7 linked regions of the Rattus norvegicus genome follow. The protein of the gene in region 1 interacts with the protein of each later gene in a biochemical or structural test. Links are inferred from orthologs where the notes say so. Each region holds a gene or a part of one and is shown in the gene's direction. Other genes may lie near its edges. The genes, in order: Chuk, Map3k14, Crebbp, Cops5, Nfkb1, Nfkbib and Map3k1.

Region 1 (3,961 bases):
AAAGTGAACTGACTGTAGAAACCAGCTTGATTAACCCAGTCAACATTATCTTGGCTGGAGTTTTCATCGTCTCTCTTCTTATGAAACTATTATGAATCTATATCCCATCTGTGGAGATGGGGCATGCCTTTCACGCCTATCTCTGTCATACACTGCAAATGAGGCTTCATATTGTTAGACTGTCTCCTCTCCTCTAGAGATGTTCTCTCAGAGGCTAATTTCAATTACCTTCAAGTCCGATATTCCAATTCCACAGAAGACATGAAAAGAATAGAAACCAGCTTATCGAATACAACTCACTATTAGTGATGCACAACATCGAATTGCATGCTGACAATGAGCATCCTTGACTTCAGCCCAGTGGGGTGCTACAAGCCTGTAATCCCACTCTCAGAAAGATGGAGGAATAACAAGTTCTAGGCCAGGCTGGACTGTATTGAGATCCTGTCTCAGAACAAGACACCTAGAGAAGCGGATAACCCACTCAAAAGGCTAGGCGGGTTGACGTTCCCTGTGCAACCCACCACTCAGAAGTATTATGCCTTATCGGACCGAGACTTCCCCCAAGCTTGTCTTTGCAGTCATGTGGCACCACTTCAGAATCAATTCCAATCCAGAACCACTTCCCTGGCAAATCTGAAAGAACAAGGCTGATAAGCAGTAAGGTCGGTAGGAAAACTCACAAAGTCCGGAAGAGTTTTTCACTCAGGAATAACGTCACATCCTTGGGTGGTTTGGAATTATAGGAGAGACTCTGACTTAGAAGGCTAATGAATCAACAGGCCGGTTAGCGCAGTTTCCTTTCACATTTACGGAGGCCTTAACCGGTGCCGACCAGCGAGTGTGGTAGGATTCCAGGGGCAGAGGGCAGGACTCTCAAAAAGATGAAATGTTTGCAAGGTAGGGACAATGCGGAGTTTAGGGTTTGGAGAGAGATCTATTTTCAAATAAGAACACGTTGTATGAAACCCTCAAAGAACCAATTAAAATATCTAAACAAAAAATAAAAACAGCACGCTCCATAGTCCTCGCAGCCTGGAAGTTGCCCGGGCACTTAAAACAGAATAGGAATCCGCTCGTGCCCAGCCTACTCGTATGCACCAATCCCAGTGTGACTCGAGACGCACGGGGCGGGACTTTGCTTGCGGAAGCTAGCGGAAGTGACGCAGTCTCGCGAGAAGGAGGACTCGCAAGCCTCGGCGGCCCGGAACCGGCCTCGGACTGGTGGCAGTGCCTGAGGCGGCTGGCGCTCCCGCCCCATGGAGCGGCCCCCGGGGCTGCGGCCTGGCGCCGGCGGCCCCTGGGAGATGCGGGAGAGGCTTGGCACCGGCGGCTTCGGGAACGTCAGTCTGTACCAGCACCGGGTGAGGCGGGAGGCGGGAGCAGTGACGCCGGGTCTGTCTGGGCGTCCCTGGAACACGGGCTGTCAGTCAAGGTGGAAGGGGAGGTGGTCTAGCCCCTGGGCAGTGCTGGGGCCAGGGCAGTGAGCGAGCGCCGGTGATACTGTGCTTGTGAGCCTGGGTGGCCGTGTTCCAGGTGTGTCTGAGGTCCCTGGGCAGTGAGTGACAGGGAGCTGTCGCAACTGTGTGTGGTGATGAGTCTGTGTGCATGTCGAGTGCCCGAGCGTGCGTGTGTTTGTGTCTATGTGTTGTGTGTGCCTGTGTGTGTGTGTGTCTGTCTGTCTGTCTGTCGCCGGGTGCCTGCTCACACTCGCTCGGGAGCGGTGTGATCCACTGGAGACTGGCATAGACGAGGAACCTTTCTAGTGTCCAGAGTTGAACCTTTGGAAACATTGATGGACTTTGGAATTGGAGCGTTTCAGGTAAAGACCAGGGTGGGTGAAGGTAAGTAAGGCGATGAAAATGATCCTTGCTTCAGAGGAAAGGAAATAGACTGAAAGGTGAGGGATTTGTTCTCTAGAAGACAGCTAATGTCAGGCTCAGGAAATTTGATTTATCGAAAAACATGTAACCATTGCAACGGCAGTCACTCGTGCATTTAAAGGATTTTCAAACCAACAGTCACTTTACTTACGATAGTGTGTTGTTGTTAATGCTGGGGGTGGAACACAGGACCTTGCACATGCTAGGCAAATGGTTGACCATTGGGTTTCATCCTCAGCCATAGTTAATCATGTCTGAGTCACAGGTCTTTTGATAAGTCAATAAAAATTATGCATCTTTTCTCCAGAAAAATCCTATCAGTACAAACCAGCACGTTATTATTGACGGTTTTTGCTTTCCTGAAGGATGTAGGGAATAGACCTTGAATACTAATCATTGCAGTGTAGGATTTTTGTTGACTGTAAAATATTTAGAAGAGTATACATACATTCTGGGTCTCTTTGAGAGTTACGTCAGATGTCATTAGAAACTTAGCAAGTACTAGGTAGGCACTGTAATTGTCGGTTGATAGGTCTCCACTGTCATGTTATCATAACCCCCATCAATTGTACGTTTACAAAAGGGACAGTAAAATAAAAATGGTGTTCTGGAGCATCATACACAAGGGATACGTTTTAATTAGAAAAACAATAAGCCAAGTACAGACATGTTAGTAATACCTTAAGATTGGGCCTACCAGGGTTGGTATACTCAGCTGGTAGAAATAGTTCCAGTATTTCATATATACCTTTGAGGACAGGAAGAAGGACATGAAATGATTTAGTTGATTGCTTTATCGGGCATTGATGGTGCTCAAATCAACAAGAATATTATTTTTACCCTGAAGGAGCTTTCCATTTCAGAGAGAGATGGGCATCGGAACAGGTAGGCATGGTGGCATATGCTTGTAATCCTAGTACCAAGGGCTCTGAGGCAAGAGGATTTGGAGCTGAGACCCAACTAGGTGGTCTTCATATTGTGCTCAAGGCCAGTGTCAGTTACATAATAGACCGTGTTTCAGAAATAAACATAAGTACAGTTTGATACCCTAGACACTGGAAGATGTCATAGGGTTTTATTGCTGTGAAGAGACATAATGACCAAGGCAGATTTTATAAAGCAAACCATTTAGTTGGGACTGGTTTCAGAGGTTTGGTCCATTAGCCGCATTGTGGGAAGCATAGCAACATACAGGCAGACATGGAGTCAAGAGTCCAACATGTTGATCCTCACGCTGCAGAAGGAGACTATGTTCCATATTGGATGCAGCTTGAGATAGGAAGCATCAAAGCCCACTCCCACAGTGACACACTTCCACCAACAAGGCCACAGGCACTCCCATGAGGCCATACCTCTTAATAGTGCCACTTTCTGTGGGTCAGGCATTCATGCACATCAATCTATGGAGGCCAGACCTGTTCAAACCACCACATCAGAGGGCTTTTGCCTCGGGGTATTTGAAAAACCTAGTTCCATGGAATCCATTAAAGAAAGAATATAGAAAGGCATGGTAGGAACCCGTGGGAGAGTGAGGCAGGAGGATTGCCTTCAGTTCAAAGCCACTATGGGCCATTAGAGTAAGAACCTTTAAAAAACAAAATGTATGGACTAGAGATATAACTTAGTGGTCACATGCATGCCCTAGGTTCTGTCCTCAGTACTACAGATTCAACCTTCCACACATTGAAAATAATTGTGGGTAGGGTGGGGCTTGGGATTGCAGGAGAAGCATCTACTAAACGTATACCGATAGAGGATTTATCTAAGTTTTGTGCAAGTGCTGTGCTCTTTAATGCAATGGACCCGAGCTTCGACTGACGTCAGGATTCTCTGGAGGTCCTAGAGGCTGCAATCTACATATTGAGCAACAGCGTCACTTTTTCCACACACATTGATAATGTTGCGTGCACTAGTCCTTTTGCTTGGAGAATCATGATTCAAATTAGGAATCCAATTTAAAAGCTCCAAAAAGTAAAGAAATTTGTGTTTTCAAACTTTATTCCTGCCTCATTTTTCAAAATACCAGAACCAGTAGATTCATATTACCATACCTAATGTGTTAGGATTTTATTACTATG
Region 2 (4,246 bases), on another chromosome or scaffold:
CTGAAGTATATAGACTCAGTTTGAGTCCCAGCCAGAAATAGTTCTAGAGACAACACTTGACCCGGTTGAGACTAAGGCAACATGGGCTATTAGCAACTGCAGGCTTTGCTCTAAGGTGTTTGTGGCCCAGGGGAGTGGGTGAGCCTCTCGGGTTGTTGTTTATTTGGTTTTGTTTCCACACAGAAGTTAGGCTGTGCAGCTCAGATTGGCCTCCTAAATGCAGGCCAGGTTGTGGGATTTCCATATAGTCTGAATGAATGGCTTTGCTTGGTGTCCGACGACAGAGGTCTGCTTGAACTGTCTCCAGAAAGAAGCTAGGTCTGCAAAGTGGTCACAAGCAGACAGTGGCCTGGCCCTGGATCAAACCTTTCCAGACAGGCTGTTCCTGGATCTGACCAGACAAGAATATGGCTTCCACTCCCATTGTACAGCCAGTCCCTGCATCTGCAGATAGGACTCCTAGCAGAGTCCCTAAGGTCGCAGCAGCACATCTTTCATTCTGGAAACATTCAAAATTACGCACTTGTAATTTCTTATTGCCAGTAGATAGAAGCTGGTGGTACATTAGCAAAGGAGGTCTATTAGCAAAGTTAGAAAAGGAAAAAAAGAGTCCATACATTCCCTACACTCCTTCCCACCCCCATTAAAAAGAGCACTGTAGACACCATGCTTTCAAAGTCCAGATCTCCCTGGCTCTGTAGTTTAGGATGGACCCTGTGCTCAGCACACACACCACGAAGCCTCTCCAGGGGGTGAACGGAGACTATATCACAAAATCTGCATGCTCCCTTAGAGCGGCATTTCAACACCCGGCCTGTGTTACGTAGGCCTTTGGTTCCCCACACTTCTCGAGGGCAGGCAAAGCAAACTCATCTTCACACACTTTACAGCACCGGGTTCACACTAAGTGCTCCAAAAAAGTGTTTCTAGACCCACCAGTCCTCCACCAAGCAACCACGCCCTCAAGCAGAATGGAGAGAAACCCAAGACTTTGGAGACAGAGCGCCCCGCCGTCTCCAAGGTAACCAAAGCCGAAGCTGGGAATGCCCACGCATGCGTAGAGTCGCCCTTCCTTCCCGTAACCTCAAAAAGAATGCAACCCGTAAAAGATTTGCCCCAAGTGGAGAGCGCATGCGTGATTCAACCAACACCCTGGCCTCCTTCGCCTACCGCCCGCCCATCCACCCAGCCGTCGGCTCTAGATGCCCTGGCCGGAAACAGTGCCCATTTGGGGGAGGCCTCGCTAGCCAATCGCTGCTGAGCAGTGGACGGCAAGCCGGCCGAAACAAGATGTCTTATTGGCTAACCTGTAGGAATGGGTGGGATCAAGGGTCGCGTTGGGGCCAAAGAAAGGAGGCGGGAAGCTAGCAAAGTCGCAGCCACGGGGGGAGGCGTGACCCGGGGCGGAGCTAGATGTGGGGGCGTGGTCGGGGAGGGGCAGCTGAGGCCCCGAGCGATCGCTGGCCAGCGAAGCGCCACACTCGCTTGTTTGAGGAGAACGGCGCTCCGCCGGTAGGTGACTGGGCAGAACCCCGAGACCTAAAGCGGGGCGCTGAGGGAGCGGGCAGGGAAGGGGCGCCTCCCAGGCCGGGGCCGGGTTGCAACCTGGCTGTCCACGAGGGATGGCTGGGATGGGTGGCCGGGTGTCTGCGGTCTAACACGCTCGCACGCTCAGCGCCATCAACGCCACGCTCGAAACGCCTTGCTCGCCTGGAACCTCCAGGCCGCGCACCCATGGGTCACACGCTTGCCCGGAACGCGCGCGGGTACTGTCTGTTTCCCTTTCCCCAACGTCCGTGCCATCAAGTTCAGCCGCCCTACTGCCAGACCCGGCTCCTGGGTGCCCCCCAAGAGAAGGTGATCGCTCCACTGTCCTAGGAAATGATATGCGCAGCCTTTCCCAGTGAACTGCTTGGGATCACTTGTTCTGAGAGGAACACTGCTCTGGGCACTCAGCAGTGCAGTGCTAGTCGCTGATGATATCCTCTCTCCTCGATGGTCCTTACCATTCTGTGTAATTCTGTGTTCTATTCGGGACTTTTGGGGTCTGTTTATATGTACTAGTCCTATCTTGGAAGCTCATCGCGGCTCTGGCAACTTTCAGCCACCTGTCACTAAGTAAAAAGAAACATTTGTTCGAGGCAGAGATTCCCACCTGCTTTGGAGCCTCATCGTGTTAACTTCAGAAAAGGTCCCCCCCACCCCATCTTTTGAGATTAAAAGATGGCTGTCAGCCCTAAAGGATGGATAGGGGTGGGCACGGGTTGTCAAGAGGATGAGTGGAGAAAAGTTTCAAGTATCAGTAGTGTCTTAGTGACAATTTGTCGTTGTTGTTGTTGTTAATTGGAGACAATGAACAATCATGGCTGGATTAGGGACGCTAAAAAAAAAAAATGAAATGAATGAGGGGTGGCACCATGACCAGTGGACTTTGGAACACTGGCACAGATCTAGAAACACAGTCTTTCAGAAAGATTAGAGGACTGTATCCTGACTTTAGTTTTACCTGTTTTTGCTTAATGAGTTTCCCACTTAGTGGTAGGTGTGGTGAGATGCATAGACTGTTGTCCCGTTGGTAAGTGAAATACCTGAATCAGGTGAGGGGATGACATACCTTGTCTGTGGCCTCAGAGCCAGGAGTGAGAGGGAGTTCTTCAGATCCCTGAATCAGAACAGTATAATGTAACTATGCTAGAGAAAAGAGGGGGGGAAGGTTTGGGCTGATCTTCTTGCTGTTAATGTAAGAGGATGCTTTGAAGACTCTTGACTTGCTTATGAAGTGCGTGTGGATTTCCTCTTGTATTTAAAGTGATGTCAAAGGCAATTCCTTTGGGTGGATGCCAGCTTTCTGAGTTTTTCAAACGCCTTTAAGACATCTTGAAAACTAGGCATGGTGACACACACCTGTATCCATCACTGGGAGGCTAGGACAAGGAGGATTTGCTGTGACTTAGAAGCCTATCAGGGCTTCAGAGCAAGGTCCTGTCTCAGAACACCAGAAAGAAAGAAAGAAGGAAAGAAAGAAAGAAAGAGAGAAAGAAAGAAAGAGAAGGAAGAGGACATCCTGATTTATTTGGAAGAGTGTGATAAATTTCTCAGAACAGCTCGTAAAAATAGTTAATATGTCTGACTTTAATTTTAGAAGTAAGTACCCAGCTTACATACCCAGAAATACATACCAGCAGTTTGTGAAGTCAAACAGTACTGTGCGATCAGGCTTCAGGTCATTTTCTGATTGTTTCTGGGTGGATAGAGCAGTTCTGAAGGGATTTTGTTTTTTGGGTTTGTCATTGTTGTCGTTGTCGTTGTTGTTGTTTTGTCTCTGGTGTCTGTTAGAGTTTGTGGGAGTGGCACCACAGACAGAGACCCTGCCAATGAACCTTCGCCTATCAAACAAAAATGCCTGGTTTGCCATTCACCCTTGGCAGATAAAGTGTGGTTCCTCATTTTGATTCTCCCGATGAACACTGATTCCTTTGTGATCTGCTTGGGGTTGAGAGGACAGGGCTCACCCTGATTGGTTGTCCAGACCTAGACAACCGTTGTGAGATTTTTGGTGAGTTAAAGGGTTCCTCCTTAGCTAGGGTCTGGTAGGAGACTGGACGGATGTGAAATAGATAAAAGCTTAAATCTAGGCTCGTTCCTTTAGAGCCATTTTCCCCTCTCTTTAAGAGTTTTGTAGTATCACTTGCCTGTGAAGTCACTTTGTCACTTTGTTTTTTTGTTTCTTTTTTTCCCCTTGTCTCAATGGACAGCACATGGGCTTCTTACAGGTGCTACTCCCCTGGGAAGACCTCACAGGCTAATCCTGATTGGCTTGACAGATTTTTCCCCCCTTAGGAGAAAAAAGAAAACTGAAAACCAAATTCAGACCCAGTAAAAGGTCAGCTCGCAGCACACGCGGGCTGACGGTTCCACCGATAGCACCCATCAACTAGATGCTTTTTTTTTTCCTGGCAAAAGGTTAAAATGCAACTAAAATTCTGCTTTCGTGATTAATAAGTCACTACCGCAGTTGTGTCTGATGCTTCCTGTTTGCCCCATTTTAGTCTTTCAGTTAAACCGGAGGCTTCTGAGCACCCTGGGCACTTCTGATGGCACCAGCATGAAGCGGGTGGGAAGAGGGGTGGTTCAGAGAGTGGATAAGTCAGCCCTCCCTGCACAGCAGGATCCCGAATAAGGGAAAGGAATGGGTTGAGTGTCTTCACGGGTAGGGTGAGCTGTTCGAGTGCGAACACTCTGTTCA
Region 3 (3,500 bases), on another chromosome or scaffold:
AAAGTATACTTTATTTGTAAGGCTTTGGATCTCCATAGCACTGCGTTATCTCTTGAAGACTCCAGCCTAACACTTCTGATTCTTGTCTTATAGATGGCCATTTCTCCTTCCCGGATGCCTCAGCCTCCCAATATGATGGGCACCCATGCCAACAACATTATGGCCCAGGCACCTACTCAGAACCAGTTTCTGCCACAGAACCAGTTTCCATCATCCAGTGGGGCAATGAGTGTGAACAGTGTAGGCATGGGGCAGCCCGCAACCCAGGCAGGTGTTTCACAGGTACATTCAGTGTGGGAGCCTGGTCAGCTAGTATTTACGTAGCCTCAGCCTCTGTTGACAGGTTCCTGTCTTATTTTATGGGAACTAGAATTCTAGAGTATATATCTCCATTTCCCATTTTGCTCCGTAATTTTTAATTCTCAATCCTTCTAGGTGAACTTCACACAAAAGTAAAATGGGTTGTGGTTGTGGGGTTTTTGGTTGGTTGGTTGGTCTTTTGTTTTTGTTTGTTCATTTGTTTTATTTTCTTTATATTTTTTATCTTTGGATTTTGGTTGCTGTTTGTGTGTTTTAGAAATCTAAGATTAACGGCATCCTGAGAAGTACTAGAACTTGAAGGGTGGATCCTCTTTTAGTGACTTGGTTTCTTGGATTTCAGTGTGTGTGTGTGTGTGTGTGTGTGTGTGTGTGTGTGTGTGCGCGCGCGCGCGTCTGTCTGTCTGTCTGTCTCTCTGACTATGTGTGTTGGGGGTCAAGGCTAGCAGACTCATTGGAGTAGCACTCTTCTCCTGAGCATGCCTCAGTTATTTAGTTACAGCCGACTTTCCCACCCATTTTACTGCTTTCTCCCACTTTGGTTAACTGTAGTATATCAAATGTCAGCTGCATACAAAGTAGGCTAAATCTTTTCTCAAAATAAAAAAAAATTGTGTCCTTTTAAGAATTTAGCTAATGCTGAATGAGTTGTTGAATATGTTAGGCTTGCTCAGTAATGATTAATTTTCTCTATCTCATTTCTTCAGAACAGAGATCAGGAAACCAACTTTCTTCTCTTTCCAGAGTCTCTCCATGTTACGTAGCCCAGGCTACACTCTTTGTATCTTAGCCATATGCCACAATGACCAGCAGTAAACCTTTTCTGTTCAACAGCTGGTTCTCAGGGCCATAGTCCTAGTCTTAACTGTTTAACTCTGCTCTCAAAGTGTATAAGTAGTTACACACACCATGTAACTTGTAATCTGGTTGTTGTTGTCATCCTGTAGAACTGGACCAAAGTCCCTAGGCCAAACTTGTCTCTGGAATGGTAATTTTGATTCTCTCTCTCTCTCTCTCTCTCTCTTTTTTTTTTTTTTTTAAGTCAGGGGTCTCCCCAGTGTTCTAGTATCTCAACTTATTTTAAAAAAAAAAAAAAGCCCTTTTTCTGTTGTCTAAGTAGATGTTACAAAACATGAAGTCGGTAAACTAAGTAAATGTGTCTAAGCCATGAATATTGTAATCAGATATTGACGTTATACAAATCAGAGTATAGAAGCATTTTAGTGCTTATTATTACATGGTGTGGTGCATGCTATAAATGGTTAGTCTGAAGTTTTGCAAATGTACTATCCTCATGAAACTACCAGAACTAATTAAGAAACTAGAATTACATTTTTCTAATTTTTTTTTCCGTAAGTCCCTTATGGTTTCAATTGGGTAAAGTAAGTTTTACATATTCTTATTATTTCTTTTAGGGCCAGGTGCCTGGAGGTACACTTCCTAACCCTCTGAACATGCTGGCGCCCCAGACCAGCCAGCTTCCTTGCCCACCAGTGACACAGTCACCTTTGCACCCGACTCCACCTCCTGCTTCCACAGCTGCTGGCATGCCCTCTCTCCAGCATCCGACACCACCAGGGATGACCCCTCCCCAGCCAGCAGCTCCCACTCAGCCATCCACTCCTGTGTCATCTGGGCAGACTCCTACCCCAACTCCTGGCTCAGTGCCCAGTGCTGCCCAAACACAGAGCACCCCAACAGTGCAGGCAGCAGCACAGGCTCAGGTGACCCCACAGCCTCAGACTCCAGTGCAGCCACCATCTGTGGCCACTCCTCAGTCATCACAGCAGCAACCAACGCCTGTGCATACTCAGCCTCCTGGCACACCGGTGAGCCTCTTCGTCATTATCAAGCTAAACTCATACAGGGCACCTTACCATAAGAATGATGTGTCGAGCACTCGTGCACAAGCAGGCATATCTAGCTAGAAAAGTAAGATGCCATCTTTTAAAAAAAGGACTATTCTGTCTGTTGGGATGCTATAGCAAATTGCTCTGGTGCCAAAAAGTGAGAGAGAGAGAGAGAGAGAGAGAGAGAGAGAGAGAGAGAGAGAGAGAGAGTGTGTGTGTGTGTGTGTGTGTGTGTGTGTGTGTGTGTGTCTGAAATTGCAGTAAACTGAATTGTTCCTCTATTGTCCCTAAAGGTATGGCTTATAGTTTGCCTTGGTTAAAGTGGTTTATAGAAATCAATAGTCCTCGGTATGTCACACATTGAACTGTATGCACTACCATTATTTTACCTGTTTTCTGTTCTAGAGTAATTACCGTCCAGGTTTGACTGCTTTTGTGCTTTTGTGGGTTTAGTAGACATGCTATGCTCCAAACTATAAAGGTCTTGGCTAATCAACCTTGTTTGAGAATACATGCCTTTTTTTATTCATAATGAAACAACAGATCCCCTCCTCCCGGGTTTGTATTAATTCTTAGATATTTAAGCTATTTGTAGAATGACAAAATTAATCATGCAACAGTTGGAAAGATGACATTACTGTTGGTTTCTCCATAAGGGCGTGTGCTTACTCTTACCTCTTACCAGAGCTTTATCTTTCTTTATTAGTTTCTGTAGTGCTTCATAGGGTAAAGCCTGTAATGGAGTGGGGTGTTTGCTTACTCCACTGCCATCACTGTCCTGTGAGACATGCTTCATATAGGCCATTAGTCCCCAACCTCCCTGTAAATACTTAAGGGTTTGCCTTTCTCCATAAGTAGGAATGTTAGTGAAGAAAATAATGGTAAAATAATCCAGTCAGAAAGCAGAGAGACTATAACTTAGAAAAGTACTTCTGCCCTTTAGTGGTCATACTAAGTACTTAGGTTGTAAGGAGAAATACTAAACAGAAGACTGAGCTTGGAGGTACAAGAGTTGGAGGAACATTTGTGTTATCTGCTTTACAGAGGTGAATGATTTTGATTTCTTTGCAGCTTTCTCAGGCAGCAGCCAGCATTGATAATAGAGTCCCTACTCCCTCCTCTGTGACCAGTGCTGAAACCAGTTCCCAGCAGCCAGGACCTGATGTGCCCATGCTGGAAATGAAGACAGAGGTGCAGACAGATGATGCTGAACCTGATCCTGCTGAATCCAAGGGGGAACCCCGCTCTGAGGTAGATGCTCCCTCCCTCAGCCTTAGTGCATGGCTGTGTGTGGCAGCTTTACCGTATGTCCTCAGGACCTAGGATGGTGTT
Region 4 (3,500 bases), on another chromosome or scaffold:
GGCCTGCACAATTCAAATCACTCTCAGTAACAGAGACTTCCACATTCCTAGTAAGATAGCCCATTAAGCCCCTTTTAAAGCATTCCTCTGCTTTCCAAATCCAAAGTCCAAAATCCACATTCTTCCAAAGCATGGTCAGGCCTATCACAGCAGTACCTCAGTCCCTGGTACCAACTTCTGTCTTAGTTAGGGTCTTATTGCTGTGAACAGACACCATGACCAATGCAAGTTTTTTTTTTTTTCTTTTTCTTTTTCTTTTTTTTTTTCGGAGCTGGGGACTGAACCCAGGGCCTTGCGCTTGCTAGGCAAGCGCTCTACCACTGAGCTAAATCCCCAACCCCCCAATGCAAGTTTTATGAAGGACAACATTTAATTGGGGCTGGCTTACATGTTCAGAGGTTCAGTCATTTATCATCGAGGCGGGAGCATGGCAGTGTTCAGGCAGGGATGGTGCAGGAGGAGCTAAATTCTACATCTTCACTTGAAGGAAACCAGGAACAGATTACGCATCCTCAGGCAGCTAGGAGGAGCGTTTGCAAGCCCACCCACCCCACAGTGACATACTTCCTACAACCATGCCACACCTTCTAATAGTGCCACTCCCTGGGCCAAACATATGTAAGCCATCACAATCATATTAGGGCTTCTCAGACAATTTGAGCTCCAAATGACCAGTTGAGTTCTTTTCTTAAGAACTTGTTATCTCTATTATAGGGGTGGGTAGCTCTTTTATATGTACACTGTAGCATCAGTCACTATTACTGAATATATTTTATCATATTTAACTTTGATCTGAATGAGTTTCTAAGTAAGGAATGTTCTTGTGTTTCCTTATATCCATTATCCATTGGTTTACAAGCAGCTAAGATAATTAAATACTCATTGAAAAAATAAAAATAAAGTCGGTCACAGTCACACACATTGGGAGGCAAAAGTAGGGGAGTTCCCTGTATGTTTGAGGCCAGCCTGCTCTATGCAATAAGTTCTAGGCCAGCCAGGACTGTTTTTCAATAGAAATAATAATAGGTTTTTAGATGTTTAACTAAATTCCCCTTAGTTCTCAGTATTATAAACGAACTACCTTTCAAAGCAGTAGAAATTCTTCTAGGTACCTTCGGAACTACTTTAAGGTGCTTTTTAAAAAGCACCCAGGCTACACTAGAGAAGGGAAGCCGTGGGAGATCTGTGTGTCGTTTCTAGAGTTTTCACAGAGGTTGGAAACCCTAGAGCTGCTCTAAGGGAGCTCATTCAGCTCAGCCTGTTGTTAGAATGAGAGAGCTCAATAACACATCATTTAGGAATTCCAATTGCTACTAGCGTCTTAGAAATTTTGGGGCACTGCAAAAGGAAAAAAAAAAACTGTATATAAAATAAGAAAGGCTGGGCTGGAGAGATGGCTCAGCAGTTCAGAGCACTGACTGCTCTTCCACAGGTCCTAAGTTCAATTCCCAGCAACCACATGGTGGCTCACAACCATCTGTAATGGGATCCGTTGCTCTCTTCTGATGTGTCTGAGGACAGCTACAGTGTGCTCACATACATAAAATAAATAAATAAGTCTTTTAAAAAAATAAATAAGAAAGGCTAGTAGACAGATTTAGAGCTGTACCAACTAAAGACAGAGGAAACACTATATTTAGCTGTTGTTCAACTGTACGACTATAAAATATAATTTTACGTAAGTGTAGCCAAAATTTCTATCCAATATAACTGTATATTTTTTTTCACCTGCCAAATGTGTGCTCTTGTTTTGTAGATATTATGCCTTAGAAGTCTCATATTTCAAATCCTCTTTGGATCGTAAACTACTTGAGCTCTTGTGGAATAAATACTGGGTGAACACCCTGAGTTCCTCTAGCTTGCTTACCGTAAGTACTGGACTTGTTTCCTTTGAATTTTGTTTTACTCTGAAGCCCAAGTTGATGCATGCTCAACTGAAACATGAAGGACAACCCAGCACTGTCAGTTCTCCCCTTGTATGTGGGCCCCAGGGATCAGACTCAGGTTGTGAGGCTTAGCAGCAAGCTCCTTCACACACTGAGCCATCTTACTGGCCCCTGGCTTCAGGTGCTTGATTGTTGGGATCATAGACAAGTGCTATTACACCTGACAAATTTCAATTGTAGTCAAGCTTCCAAAACTGTTTGGTGTTTGAAACTCAATTCACAGAAAGGCATAACTTCAAGGCTGGAGCAGGGTTCTGTCCAAGCTAAATGAGGATGCTAGGCAATCCAAATGGGGGAGTTCTGCTTGTGCCTTAAAGAGGTTCATAGAGGAAAATCAAAAATACTGCTTCTGTTGCCTCAGATAACAGAACAGGTAGGTCTCTGACACATATAACACTGTAGCCTGATATGTCAAGACCCTCAGGAGTCACGTATCAGATGTTTACATTACAGTTCATAACAATAGCAAAGTTACAGTTATGAAGTAGCAATAAAGTAATTGTATGGGTGAAGACATGAAGACCTGTATGAAAGGATCACGGTATCAGGCAGGCTGAGAACCACAGGTCTGGTTAGAACTAACAGGATACCAAATGAAGGAAACTGAAACGGTCCTCAAGCAAGTCTAGATTCTCATTCAGGAGATGTTGTGAAGTCAGAGCTTCTCTGAGCTCTGCATGGTTCACATCCAGGCTGCACATGAAAGCAGATGGCAGCTCTAGCATCATCTCATGGTGTTGGGCAGACAAAAAAAGACACACACACACCCGCATGGTCTCGGGCAGCGTCTCCTGGGTTTGCTAGGCTTTGCTTAGGTCACAGGCTCATCCTGAAGACGTGCTATGGGCCAAGGCAAGGGACACATTGCTCTGCAGGGCTGGAGTAGAAACAGCTATTTCAGGAACATGTGAAAAGAGGTCCTGGGAAGAAATCTGAAGATTAAATATATATTTAAGAGGTATATATTTAGAAGTTAGCAGTTTTGTTGTTTTTACTCTCTGATAAAAAAGACTACTTCATGTAATACGGTATAATTTGAAATAAACTGGGTTTGAAAACAAATGTGAGACTACTGCTAGTCCTCTGTGACCTTCAGAACGCGGTTCGTCCCAGACTAGCCTTATAGTTGCTACACAGCCAGGGATGGCCCTGAAGTTCTGTGTCCACCTTCTGGTGCTGGGATTGTAGGCACGAGCCACCACATCCAGCTTTAAGGGCTGACTGAGCCTTTGCATGGTGTAGAGTGGTGGTCGTGGCACTAGGTGTATCGCTTGGCTCGCTACGGCAGAGAAAGCACCTGCCTTGATAACGATGGCTGGGGTTTGTTTGGTGTATTATATCCTTAGAAAGACTCACTTGAGCCTGTTTGCTAATGTCTTAAACATAATTTTGACACAGTCTGTGTTCTGCTTATTAGAAGTATCAGAATTCAAAAGTGCAAGCTGGGCACGTGTCTGTAATGCTAGACTTTGGGACTTGACAGGTTGAGTCAAGAGAATTGGGAGTCCCAGGTCTTCCTTAACACACAATAAGCTTGAGGCCAGCCTGGCCCAC
Region 5 (3,500 bases), on another chromosome or scaffold:
TCCAGTGTGCTGCCTCCCTGGGCGAGAAGACTCAAGTGTGTGAGCATGTTAATTTTAAACCCTTGCCTTGTGTGTAAAATAATGTTGAGAAAACTATTGACAGTCCCATCAAGTCCCTGAAGCGTTATTGTCACAGTGTACCCAAGGGAGAGCCTGGTAAAGACATTAGTACAGTAACTAAGAGGCAATGCCTTTCTTCCCTAGCTCCTGGCTGCTTCTCTGTGGTCTCTAGTGTGTGAGAGGACCAGACTCTGCCTCAGCTCCAGGCCAGGCTGCGTGGGAGTCTGAAATTCCAGACGCCATGCCTGCTCTCTATTCCTGAGGTTCCGTTTGCAAAGGCACCTGGCTCCTTCCTAAAGTGTTCTCTTAGTCCTTCCATTGAGCCTTCTGAAATGAGCTAAAAGCCTATAAAAATAGCCAGAGACAGCAGTCTTGAGATTCAAGTGCTTTATCTAAGGGGGTCCTAAAATAGCATTAACGCTGAAAAGGAGTCCTTTTCTGTGGCAGCATTTGGGAGTGCCGTGGTAAGTCTCAGTTTAAAAACAAAATGCTTTAGGAGGATGCCAACCTCAGGGGTTTCGTACAGAGACCTTTGTCCCCGTCACTTGCAGTGTAACTAAGGATGTGGTATAACCGCTGGCCTTGTCCTACAGTACAAGAGGAACCCAGACAACCTTCTCTGTAAAAAGCCCTGAATAGCAGAAGGCGCCTTTAGCGGGAAATCATCCCGTTAGCATTCAATAGCAAATAACCACAAAACAGAGCGGATAACCAGGGCGCACACCCATCGGCACCTCAGGTGCCATCTTTAAGGACTGGCTCAGCTCATGAGTAATGAGGGCAAGCATGGTAGGAAGTGGAACACTGATTTCTGAAAGACGTAAGGATACATGTATGGACACTAGATGGCCATGGGGCAGCCGAGACAGTGGCCAGCATTGCCTAAGTGAGGACAATACACAGAGCCTCGTCCAAGACTTCAACAAGCAGGCTCTCTGAGAGGCTAGGGGTGTGAGACCTGGGAGACACAGAAGACCCACTCAGAAGTGTAGATAAGGAAATATCCTGGTTTCTCATATTTATTCAGCTTGCCATATTTGGACCCCGTCACCATTAGTCATCATAGAAAATACAATAAGGAAAAAATATAGAACCCTCTGGTACTGGGGAAATTCCTCCAGGGGTATGAGGATCTGAGGGGGAGGGGATGCTCTTCTGTGAAGCTCTGAGCCGCACGTGGAAATGTTGAAGTAGCTTTTGAAGCCCTCTTACTCGATGTGTGAACGTCTCCATCACTTCTCCATCACGTCTCACAAGCCTCACTTCTGTCAGGGTTCCATCAGGAGCCACACTGAAGCCTGAGGTGTGGCTGCAGTGCCTCTCATCAAAGCACGCACGCTTCACTTGTAGTCAACACCGACACAGGATCCTCTAAAGAGCAACTTTGTGGTCTTCCCTGAGAAGTATTGCTACATGAAATCCTTCAGGGATAAGTAACAAGATCTTGCTTAAAAACAGAAGTCACTTCTCGTTGTTTCGGAGGAACAGAGCTCACTCAGCAACTGAGTTTTCCTGAGCTGTCCCTACGCCTGGGCATTGCCTTTGTTCATGGTCTGTCAGGGAAAGACCAGGGAGAGCTGCCTGAGTCTGAGTCACAGAGACAGAGCTGGCTTGGAGCTTAAGGCCATTTGGTCTCCGACCAACAGGGCAGGTGCCTTTGCACTTCACGTGTCTGGTCAGACATTAACACTCCCACGGCCAGGTGGGCACAATCAGCATGTAGTAATCTGCAATGGGCAGTGGGAGAAATCCTCCAGAGAAATCATGTCACCTCATATCAGTACATGGGAGGGCCAAAGAATGCTATGCGTAACACTTAGATTCAGTCTTCAGTTCCGTCGTTTCTTGACTTTTTTGTTACTGTCACTCGTTGAGCCCCCAGTTAATTATCACCACCGTGTTCATTCCAGTGTCCTACACTTAGCCATCATCCACCTTCATGCTCAGCTCGTGAGGGATCTGCTAGAAGTGACATCTGGTTCGATCTCTGATGACATCATCAACATGAGAAACGATCTGTATCAGGTAAGCAGCCACCTCAAGACAGTCAAGAAGAGAAAAGGTTTACTTTGTAATACATGTGTGTGCTGTTATCGGTAACAGGAAACAAGGAAACAACATCCTTTCATAAGTGGTATCTTAAAAGTATCTTTAGCTGGGAAAGCTATTTTATAAAGAGACGAGTAGGATCATGGATTTGATGACAATCACGCTGCATGGAAATTCACTATCTTCTAGAAAAGCAAACTTTAAGATCTAGAAGTCAGAGTTGATAGTTTTGAGGGAGAATCTAGGGGAGGAAAGTCACAGCTGTCAGGAGAGACAGAGTCAAAAAGAAAATCAAGTTTCAAAACGCAGTACTTTGTGAGAATTTTGAGGTCCGAGGAAGGGTATTTACAGTATGTGTGGAGGAAAGGCTCTGAGGTCAGCTCCTGGAGAGGTGAAAGGCTGTAACAGGAAGAGGAACCAGCTCAGGTTTGAGAAGGTAGGGAGGACGGAAAACTCCAGGAGAAACCAGCTAGAGATGGTGGCACAGTCAACTGAGGATAGATGAAGATGTTGAGGTAAAGCAAATCAGAAACTCCAGGAGCAGAAATAGGACTGTGGCCTGCTCTGAGGCCTCCTTCCTCCCTCACCTCTAATTCTCTCCAGCCCTTTTGTGCCCCTCCCCCTTCCTACCCCTCCCTGTCTCCTACCCCTCCCCTTCTAACCCTCTTCCTCTCCTACTCTACCCCCTCCTCTTCTTCCCCCTCCCCCGTTCCTACCCCACCCATTCTCCTACCCCTCTACCCTTCCTATCCCACCCATTCTCCTACCCCTCCCCCCTTTCTACCCTACCCACTCTCCTACCCCTCCCCCTCTCCTACCCCTCCATTTTTCTGGGTCTGTTGGTCTTTTCCTCTTGTTGGCTTTTATGTATCTCTGAACTCACTTGCCCAGTGTGTCTTTCTGATCCCACAGCCAGGATGGTGCTGAGACCTCTGCTTCCAGGTTATGTTGCTTTCATTGCAAAACTGTGGCCAATAACCATGCATAATTTGTGCTTAGAAGAGACAAGAACTAGTGGAGTTCTTACTTGGTGTTTGTTTGTTTATATGGGTTTTGGTTTTGGTTTTTTTGGTGGTTTTTTTTTTTTTTTTTTTTTTTTTTGGTTCATTTTGGTGCTTGGGACTACACTCAGAACTGAGCGCATACCCTTCCATACAACCACGCTAACTCCATTTTTTTTTATTATTATTAACTTGAGTATTTCTTATATACATTTCGAGTGTTATTCCCTTTCCCGGTTTCCGGGCAAAATCCCCCTCCCCCCTCCCCTTCCTTATGGGTGTTCCCCTCCCAACCCTCCCCCCATTGCCGCCCTCCCCCCAACAGACTAGTTCACTGGGTGTTCAGTCTTAGCAGGACCCAGGGCTTCCCCTTCCACTGGTGCTCTTACT
Region 6 (3,998 bases), about 160 Mb from region 1:
GAAGGGAACCAGGGGTTGAGGCTATACATTTTCCTTGACAGTCCCCAGAAGCCGCCATTCTCCCAGGAGCTGTACTAATCCCCAGATGGGTTTAGGGATCAGGGCCATAAGCCAAGGGCCCTTGGGTAAAAGCCTTCCCTTGCACCTCCCCCAGTGCGGCATGTGGAACCACGTCCATTTCTCTCCTTCCCTCCACCCTTTTCCCCATCTCACCTGAGCCTCCTGCACCTTCCCTGCCTGGTTCTCCAGAGGGTCAGAGGCTGGGGAGGAGGGGGAGCAGACGTGGTTACAGTGGGGGGAAATAGTTAAGCAGATGAAGGGTTCACAGTGGTGGAGGCGACAATAGGACCCACCAACCTAATTATCCTGGAGTCATGGATGGTAGTAAAACTATTGGAGATGGGGAAAGGCATGTTTTAGAGTGGAGGAATGTGTGAGGAGGGGAAGGTTTGGGAGGAAAAAGCAGGTGAAACGGGACTGAAGGAAGGTTTCAGAGTTAAGCAGGATAAGGTAGCGAGTGCGAGCCAGGAGAATGAGGGAGGGCTAAGTTTTTCAAGAGATGTTAAGTAGGGATACTTCTGCTGAGAGTTGAGTGTGGGAGAGGAGATGCAGTGAAGGTGGGAGGTTTAGGAGAGGCACAAGAACTGAAGGAATGAGATAGAAAGGGGCCGCAGGGGTCCCCAAACATACTATAGTTGCCCTTAACAACAGGCAACCTTAGCAACCGGGATCGTGGTAACTTTGGTCCTTAGCAACGAGGGTCCTCAGCAACCAAAGTGCGAGAAACGCGATCATTCAAAACTTTGCAAATGGACCCTTAAATTTCACAATCCAGAAACCCACCAACCTAGCAATATCGACCACTTAGCAACAGCCCTCCGAATCCCACTCCCTTCAGGCAGCCTCTGTCTCCCACCCCACCGACCTGCCCGCGGGCCCCGGGGCCTGCAGCCCAAAGCCAGGCCCCGGCGCGGCCCGACCCTCCCACCCTCCCACCAGGGCCCCTAACTCACGGTCCGGCTCGGCCATGGGAACGGGGTGGGGGCTCTCGGGACTGTCACCGACTGCTCTGTCCCGTGACGGCAGCGGAAACAAGAAGGAGCCGAGAGAGGATAGAAAAATACAACTCCCGACAGGCAACGCGGTCCCGTAACCGCTTTCATACGGTGCTCCCCTCACGTTATCAAACTACAAATCCCAAAAGGCTTGGCGCCGGCGGCCATATTAATAAAGGGCGTCTGGAAAATCTGGGGAAACTCAGCGAGCGAATGTCCATCTCATTATTCTGATTGGTTCTGGTGCAGTACAGAGGCGGGGTGTGGCTATTTAACACAGTTTGATTGGGTATATGAGGGGGCGTGTTGGGGAATTCCCAATAGGGCGGAAGCGCTGGAGCTCTCGGCAGAACCCAGCGTCAGGCAGGCGACCGCAGGGGGCCACCCGAGGTGGCAGGGGCAATGGCCGGGGTCGCGTGCTTGGGGAAAACTGCAGACGCCGATGAATGGTGCGACAGTGGCCTGGGCTCTCTAGGTCCCGACGCAGCAGCTCCCGGAGGACCAGGTCTGGTCGCAGAGCTTAGCCCAGAGCTGTCTTGGGCGCCCTTAGTCTTTGGCTACGTCACTGAGGATGGGGACACGTGAGTAAACCTTAAATTACCAATTTACCCTAGGGATCTTACCTGAGTCTCCATTAGCCTATGATTTCTGTGGCTTCTTATCTTCTCGTTCCTAACTCTGATTTCTGATGCTGGACTTCCTGACCCATAACCACCAATCACTAAATTGTGAGACTAGTCCGTTTTCACTCACAGTCAAGTGTCTCAACTTTTCTGAACTCTTAAATTTGAGCTTACGATCCCCAAATCGGGTCTGAACCTTTCTGACCACTCTAGTTCCCACATCTTCTGACCTCTTGCTTCCAGATGTGGTCTTTGGTCTTTGGCTATTCTTGTATAAGCCAGATTTTGATTTCCAAAATTAATTCTTGACCCTGAGTCTACGACGCTGACACATCCAGCACTGACCCTGCAATTGAGAAACCGAGCTACTGGGTGTCATGGGCCTCACAGAAGTTGGGAGGCAAAGGCAGGTTGATCTCTGTGAGTTTGGGGCCACCTGATTGAGATGCCGGCCAGCCAGAGCTACATAAAATTTAGAAGCTCGATTCTATGAAGATGGATTCATCTGTTAGCCAAACGTCTCTCCCTAACTACCACCTTTCAATCCCTGGTTTTAGTTTAGCTGAATGTGGTGGTACACACTTGTCATCCCAGCTCTTAAGGGGCTGAGGCAGGAGGATTGCTAGTCTGAGGAGAGCCTGGGAAGACCGGTATCAAAAAGGAGGGATAAGGAAAAGGAGGAGAGGGAGCCTGGGGGGGGGGTGTGGAGCAGGAAATGTTGATTAGTAGATAAACTGGGGAGAAGGGATGGCTGTGGTGACAGTGTGTGTAAGGGAGTGTACCCGGGATTTTCTTGTCCTTTGTGCTCATTGCGTATACCCAGTGACTCAGTGCCTGACCCATGAGGGGAACCCAATAAACACTCATCTTAAAGAGCCAGGAGTAGTTTCCTTAATTTTCTAATTTTTCACTTTCTACTTTATTGGCCCTTGTTCCTTTATTGTTTCCCTCTGGTTATTTAATTTTTGTAATTTCTTTATCCTTTTTTTTTTTTTTTTTGTTCTTTTTTTCGGAGCTGGGGACCGAACCCAGGGCCTTGCGCTTCCTAGGCAAGCGCTCTACCACTGAGCTAAATCCCCAACCCCCCTCTTTTTTTTTTTTTTTTTGTTTTGTTTTGTTTTGTTTTGCTTGTTTGTTTTTGACAGTCTTGTGTAGCCCATGCTAGCCTTCAGGTTGTAGCTGAGGATGGCTTTGAACTTTTCATTCTCCTGTGTCCACCTCCCAAGTGTGTATCACTACATCCAGCTCAGGGATGTGCGTGTGTGTGTGTGTGTGTGTGTGTGTGTGTGTGTGTGTGTGTGTGTTCGCACTAACCACATAGGCTAGACTAGCTGGCCTGAGAGAACCTTGTCTCTTGCTCCCCACCCTCCTCCTCCTCTTTGAGACAGGGTGGCTGACCTGGAACTCACTATGTAGACCAGACTGGCCTCAAACTCATAAAGATCCATCTGCCTCTATGTCCTGAGTGCTGGGACCAAAGGTGTGCGCCTCTGTGCTCTACTCCAGGGATCTCCTAGTGTTAGGATTATAAATACTTACAACCACACCCAGCTTTTTTTTATGTGGGTTCTGAACTAAGGTCACTGTGCTTTACTTACAAAATAGTTCCCCAGCCACCCACTCCACCCCCTTTTTCGTCAGTGTCTTACTATGTAGCCCAGGCTAGCCTTGAACACTACTGTAAAAAATAATAAAAATAATTGATTCAGCCATTTAGCTCCCAACAAGGACTCTGGCACTAATTATTCATTAATAAATGCCTTGGCTACAAGCTTTGGCTCATTCCCTGGCTAACTTATAACCTATTTAACGCATTCAAACTATCCTATGTCTTCCACGTGGTTACCTTTCCTGCAGTCTCCAGCCTGCCTCTTCCTTAGCGTCGTCTTTCTCAGTGTCTCAGTGACCCCTCCAGTGCCTCTCCCTGCATCTCCCTTTTTTCCTCACCATTTCCCAGAATTCTCTCTCTCTTCCTGGCAGTGTCCCACCTGTTTCCTCCCTCAGCTCATTGGCCATAGGCTTTTTTTTATCGACAGGTGTTGCCTTTAAGAAATTCTGTCCACACTATGAAACTTGTCTTTGGTTTATTTTATTTTATTTGTTTTTTGTTGTTGTTGTTTTTTGTTTTTGTTTTTGTTTTGAGATAGGGTTTCTCTGTGTAGCCCAGACTGTCCCAGAACTCTTTCTGCAGACCAAACTGGCCTTGAACTCAGAGATACATTTGCCATTACCTTCCAAATAATTTACTTTATGCGTATGACTGTTTTACCTGTGTACATGTATGTGGACTGTGTTTGTGCTTGTTGGAGCCCCTGGAACT
Region 7 (4,300 bases), on another chromosome or scaffold:
AACCATACCTGCGGAGAAAAGAGGGGAAATGGAATCACTTTAAGGCAGGCGGAGCCTACAGCAGCCTGCCATTTGGCATGTGCTTCTGCAGAAATACAACAGAGGACCCAAAGAGCTCCAGGATCCAGGTGGAGGTGGGGTGGGGTGGGGTGGGTGTGTGTCGATGGGGAGGGGCCCACTTAACCATACCTACGACTCACAAAGTTGGGTAGGACCTATCCAGTTAACTGCTTTCAAAGGAGACTTTATATGGATGTATATAGCAGGGAGCTGACTTCCTTAGTCGATTGGGCCCTTTGATTATTTATCTCTGAAAGAAAACTGTGTGTCTGTGTATAGGAGCATAATGACAGCAGAATTATGTCCATAAAAGACAAAAGGAAATGCGATTCAAAAGGTCTTAATAGTCTTCATAGACTGATGCGGTATGTGGAGGCCAGAGCACGGCAGTTAGTCAGCTGTGCTTCATTTGATGCCCACCCTCATTTTCAAACAAACACCATACAAATAAAGAGGCAAAAGTCACTTTTTGCTGGAATTTCCTTTAAAAAAAAAAAAACTTTATTATTCAGGCCAAACTTCCAAAGCTGGTCCAAAGATAGAGACAAAGGCTAAGAAGGGTCTGCAGTGGCTTTTCTCACTTACAGGTACCTAACTATGAGTGTGCCAATTTAAAGTTTATTTTAGATCTCAGTAGAAACCAGAAAAGCTAATCCTTTTCGATTTAGAATTTGGTGGGTGTGGCAATCTAGGAAGACCTAGGAAATAACTACTGTTTGGTTTGGATGTTACGCTTGTCTACTATTAAAAGAGCATATAATTATAGCCTAAATGGAGACCCAAATCTTGAACAGACTAATCTAAACTTTCAAAATGTGTACCTTTTAATGTAACCATCAAAAACTATAGCCTGCCAGATGTTGTAGCACTCAGCATAACACGGAGCTTACATTGAAGTCAGGATCCTTTAAAAAAAAATAAAAACCCCTTTCTTGCTCTCCAGCTGACATTACACACCTAAGGAGGGCTTCATTAGATCTACTTTGGAGACGTTAAATGAATTATTTTGAGATAGTTCAGGCTTTTGTTTAAATGCAGGCGAGATCTCTCCTTTTACTGTAAGACGAAAACCCTTCTTACCCCTCCCCCACGCCTCATGTCTTAATGTTTCAAAAATTAAATCTAGAGGTCCGGGGTTCTGAAAGATTGCCTAGTCTAGACAAATAGGCGGAGGAAAAGAAGTAGCAGAGGAGGGGGAGATACGGGCGACATGGCAGCTCCATCCCGTTGAAAAGGGGTGGGGTGGGAATTCCCATATATTTACAGCTTCTCTATCCCCAGCACCTTTTCTAAAAAGACTCCCAGGCAGGAGAGAGGCGAGGGACGCTACATAGGACAACCTGGGAGCGGCGGCGGTGGGGGAAGGGGGGACCCAGGAACCCGGCCTGTCACCTGACTGCCAGGAAGAGGGACGTGCAGCTGGGAGCATCTGAGGGGGGTGGGGAGACCTGGTAGAAGATGGCAAGATCCAGCGCTTCCTGGCAGAGCGCTGGCTCTTTCCCTAGACGTGCTCTCCCGCTTTCGGTCGGAGGCTGCCTTTCCAAGACGGGGGAGTAACCTCTGGCAGAGCACCCGGGTTGGTCCTTTTGCATAGCCGGTGGGAGGAGGGAGGGTGTCCCAAACCAGCGGCCTCAGATGTGCACAAGGTAGCACAGGAAATCTTAAGTAGTGTTATTTGTGACACCAGGGCGGGACAAGAGGTCTGCTTTCCAAAGAGAAGGCTTCGCGTCTGTCTGCAGCAGGCGACAGTCCCGGGCGCCACCTGCGCTTCGGGCGCGGGCCAGGCTGGTGCGCGCCGGGCCCCCAGCGCCCGCTACTGAGAGCGTGAAGTGACCGACCGTGAGTCCTCCGGCTTGCGTCCCCTTCCAGCACCAGGGACTCACGCCCCAATTACTGCTTGCTCAAGGGTGGACGAGCTCCGGCCGAGCCGCTGCCCCGCCCCGTACTACCTGGCAGCTGCCCGGGTGCAGCGCACAGCGCCCCGCGCGGCCCCAGCAGAGCCCCTGCCCTCCCACCTGCGCCGCGCGCCCGCCGCTCCGTGCTCCCGAGACAGGAGACGCGGCCCCGCTCCCGCTCGCGCCCGCGCACTCGGCGCAGCGCGCGCGCCCGCCGCTCCGCCCGCCCCCCGCGCTCTCCCCGCCCCCTCCCTCCCCCGCAGGCACGAGCGAATGTAGCCCGCGAGAGAAAATGGCGGCGGCGGCGGGCGATCGCGCCTCGTCGTCGGGATTCCCGGGCGCCGCGGCGGCGAGCCCCGAGGCGGGCGGCGGCGGCGGAGCTCTCCAGGGAAGCGGCGCGCCCGCAGCGGGCGCGGGGCTGCTGCGGGAGACTGGCAGCGCGGGCCGCGAGCGCGCGGACTGGCGGCGGCAGCAGCTGCGCAAAGTGAGGAGTGTGGAGCTGGACCAGCTGCCGGAGCAGCCGCTCTTCCTCACCGCCTCGCCGCCCTGCCCATCTACTTCCCCGTCGCCGGAGCCCGCGGACGCGGCTGCAGGAGCGAGTGGCTTCCAGCCTGCGGCGGGACCGCCACCCCCGGGAGCAGCGAGTCGCTGCGGCTCCCACTCTGCCGAGCTGGCGGCCGCGCGGGACAGCGGCGCCCGGAGCCCCGCGGGGGCCGAGCCGCCCTCTGCAGCGGCCCCCTCCGGGTGAGCGGCGGGCCGGGCCGGGCGGGCAATGAATGAAGCGAGGACGGAGCGCGGCTCCCGGGGCTCCGCTCGTGGGGCCCCGCGCCCCCGAGCCCTGAAGGTCGGGCGGCGCCCGGGACGGCGTGGGGACAGGACGGGAGCGTGCGGGAGAGTTTGTTATTGTTTGCGGACATGTGACAGGCGTGCAAACCGCGGACGTGCGGGGCTCCCGGGGCCGGGTCCTGAGAGCCCCCACGGCGCGCTGTGAGTGGGGAGCCCGGAGGGCGGAGGTGACGGCGGTGGGTCTGCGCCCTGTGACAGGATAGAGCCCCTGGGCCCCACGGGGACGCGTGCCCGCCCGCAGGTACCGGGCCGGGCTTATGCGACGCTCCCCAGGCGGCCGGGGGATTCCGGGGACTGCGGGGAACGCCTGTCAAAGCGACGCGGGCAGACGCTGCGGGCTCGCTGGACCGCCGGGTCTGCGGGGACTCCGTGGCTTCCCTCACTGCGTGTCCCTGGGAATTCCTACCGCACCTCGGAGGCTAGAGCGCTGGGAGTTTGAATCCGCCTTTGAAGTTAGCGTTTGGCGGAATGCTGTAGGATCCAGGACCGGATGTGTCAGCCATTCAGCTTCAAAGCTGTGGGGACTGCGCCCCGCAGCCCCGCTGCGTGGCGGGGACAGGGACGGTGCGGGGCTGCGGCTTCGCTCGCAGGGGTCTTCCGGTGCACCAGAAGTAGGATGTGCGTAAGATAGTTTACACCAACGGCTCTTTGGCCTCGCCCTTTTTTGGCTACTGGAAAATTTTCTGTTAGAGGAAATTCTTTTTAAGTATATGATACTTTTAAAAATTCTGATGAAAATACACAAAAGCATAAAATCTTGTTGGGTGTGTGAAGTTGCTGGATATGTTTTCGTGATAGTCACCCGGTGGCCCCGTAGAATTTCTTGACGTTTACTATGGGTGGAGAGTGTTTTATTGTGTGTCGAATCTGACAGTAGGAATCCTTGGTTTCGGTTAGTTATCTAAAGTAATTTGACCCCCTTTGGTGCTCTGGCTTGTTTAAAATCACGGTCCGTTTATTACTTGGAGGTCGTTTTTCCTCCCCCCACCCCCCCGTAGTAAAAAGTGTGCTGACTCCTGGGCTCTGGCAGAATGGGGAGGAAGGTAGGCAGCAGCCAGCCCTACTGCAGCTTTCTGTGTGCACTTGTACACGTATCTTCCTCTAGGGTTTCCTGTTTTTGTGCAGATTAGATTAAAACATTACCAGAATAATTCCTAGGTGGCAACTCTTACTACAGATCAACTGCAGACGGAAGCAAAAAACACTAACTTAAACTTGGAGGAATTAATTTTCTCTAGTTTTGTGAGACCTGATTTTTTTTTCCTATATGGTAATACAGCTGGCCGCACTTCAGCATTTACAAAGTCAATGTTATGGCCTATGAATATAGCATGAGAGCAACAACTGCAAAAGTGATATATAGAACTTTAGTGTTCCCTGTAGACTCGAAATTGGAGGATGAAGGTGAGGGCAGGAGGGATTGAATACCTGAGTAATCTGTGCTTAATTTTCGCATTCTCTTTCCTCTCCTTAAGGAGGGTTTATAATTGTAAAGGTTG

The links.
Region 2: of the proteins of Chuk (region 1) and Map3k14, one has a biochemical effect on the other in vitro, tested with the Homo sapiens proteins (5 studies listed by BioGRID and IntAct, with this or other methods). The link is inferred for Rattus norvegicus from reciprocal best matches to the Homo sapiens genes CHUK and MAP3K14.
Region 3: the proteins of Chuk (region 1) and Crebbp form a complex in vitro, tested with the Homo sapiens proteins (2 studies listed by BioGRID, with this or other methods). The link is inferred for Rattus norvegicus from reciprocal best matches to the Homo sapiens genes CHUK and CREBBP.
Region 4: of the proteins of Chuk (region 1) and Cops5, one has a biochemical effect on the other in vitro, tested with the Homo sapiens proteins (2 studies listed by BioGRID). The link is inferred for Rattus norvegicus from reciprocal best matches to the Homo sapiens genes CHUK and COPS5.
Region 5: of the proteins of Chuk (region 1) and Nfkb1, one has a biochemical effect on the other in vitro, tested with the Homo sapiens proteins (3 studies listed by BioGRID and IntAct). The link is inferred for Rattus norvegicus from reciprocal best matches to the Homo sapiens genes CHUK and NFKB1.
Region 6: of the proteins of Chuk (region 1) and Nfkbib, one has a biochemical effect on the other in vitro, tested with the Homo sapiens proteins (2 studies listed by BioGRID). The link is inferred for Rattus norvegicus from reciprocal best matches to the Homo sapiens genes CHUK and NFKBIB.
Region 7: of the proteins of Chuk (region 1) and Map3k1, one has a biochemical effect on the other in vitro, tested with the Homo sapiens proteins (3 studies listed by BioGRID). The link is inferred for Rattus norvegicus from reciprocal best matches to the Homo sapiens genes CHUK and MAP3K1.

Annotation. Positions count from the first base shown.
Region 1 is NC_086019.1:252,941,474-252,945,434, reverse strand, and holds the start of Chuk (inhibitor of nuclear factor kappa-B kinase subunit alpha), read left to right. Parts: upstream 1-1,161; 5' UTR 1,162-1,259; coding exon 1,260-1,364; intron 1,365-1,414; exon of another isoform or gene 1,415-1,795; coding exon of another isoform or gene 1,796-1,822; intron 1,823-3,961.
Region 2 is NC_086028.1:88,712,793-88,717,038, reverse strand, and holds the start of Map3k14 (mitogen-activated protein kinase kinase kinase 14), read left to right. Parts: upstream 1-1,446; 5' UTR 1,447-1,512; exon of another isoform or gene 1,513-4,246.
Region 3 is NC_086028.1:11,932,840-11,936,339, forward strand, and holds part of Crebbp (histone lysine acetyltransferase CREBBP), read left to right. Parts: intron 1-93; coding exon 94-282; intron 283-1,733; coding exon 1,734-2,147; intron 2,148-3,239; coding exon 3,240-3,419; intron 3,420-3,500. UniProt on the Homo sapiens protein: Acetylates histones, giving a specific tag for transcriptional activation. Mediates acetylation of histone H3 at 'Lys-18' and 'Lys-27' (H3K18ac and H3K27ac, respectively).
Region 4 is NC_086023.1:13,985,328-13,988,827, forward strand, and holds part of Cops5 (COP9 signalosome complex subunit 5), read left to right. Parts: intron 1-1,756; coding exon 1,757-1,868; intron 1,869-3,500. UniProt on the Homo sapiens protein: Probable protease subunit of the COP9 signalosome complex (CSN), a complex involved in various cellular and developmental processes.
Region 5 is NC_086020.1:226,704,463-226,707,962, reverse strand, and holds part of Nfkb1 (nuclear factor NF-kappa-B p105 subunit), read left to right. Parts: intron 1-1,970; coding exon 1,971-2,085; intron 2,086-3,500.
Region 6 is NC_086019.1:93,178,588-93,182,585, reverse strand, and holds the start of Nfkbib (NF-kappa-B inhibitor beta), read left to right. Parts: upstream 1-1,198; 5' UTR 1,199-1,457; coding exon 1,458-1,636; intron 1,637-3,998. Other genes in the region: Sirt2 (NAD-dependent protein deacetylase sirtuin-2), read right to left, coding at 214-260, 1,014-1,029. UniProt on the Homo sapiens protein: Inhibits NF-kappa-B by complexing with and trapping it in the cytoplasm.
Region 7 is NC_086020.1:45,145,219-45,149,518, reverse strand, and holds the start of Map3k1 (mitogen-activated protein kinase kinase kinase 1), read left to right. Parts: upstream 1-1,500; 5' UTR 1,501-1,636; exon of another isoform or gene 1,637-1,747; 5' UTR 1,748-2,247; coding exon 2,248-2,699; intron 2,700-4,300. UniProt on the Homo sapiens protein: Component of a protein kinase signal transduction cascade. Activates the ERK and JNK kinase pathways by phosphorylation of MAP2K1 and MAP2K4. May phosphorylate the MAPK8/JNK1 kinase.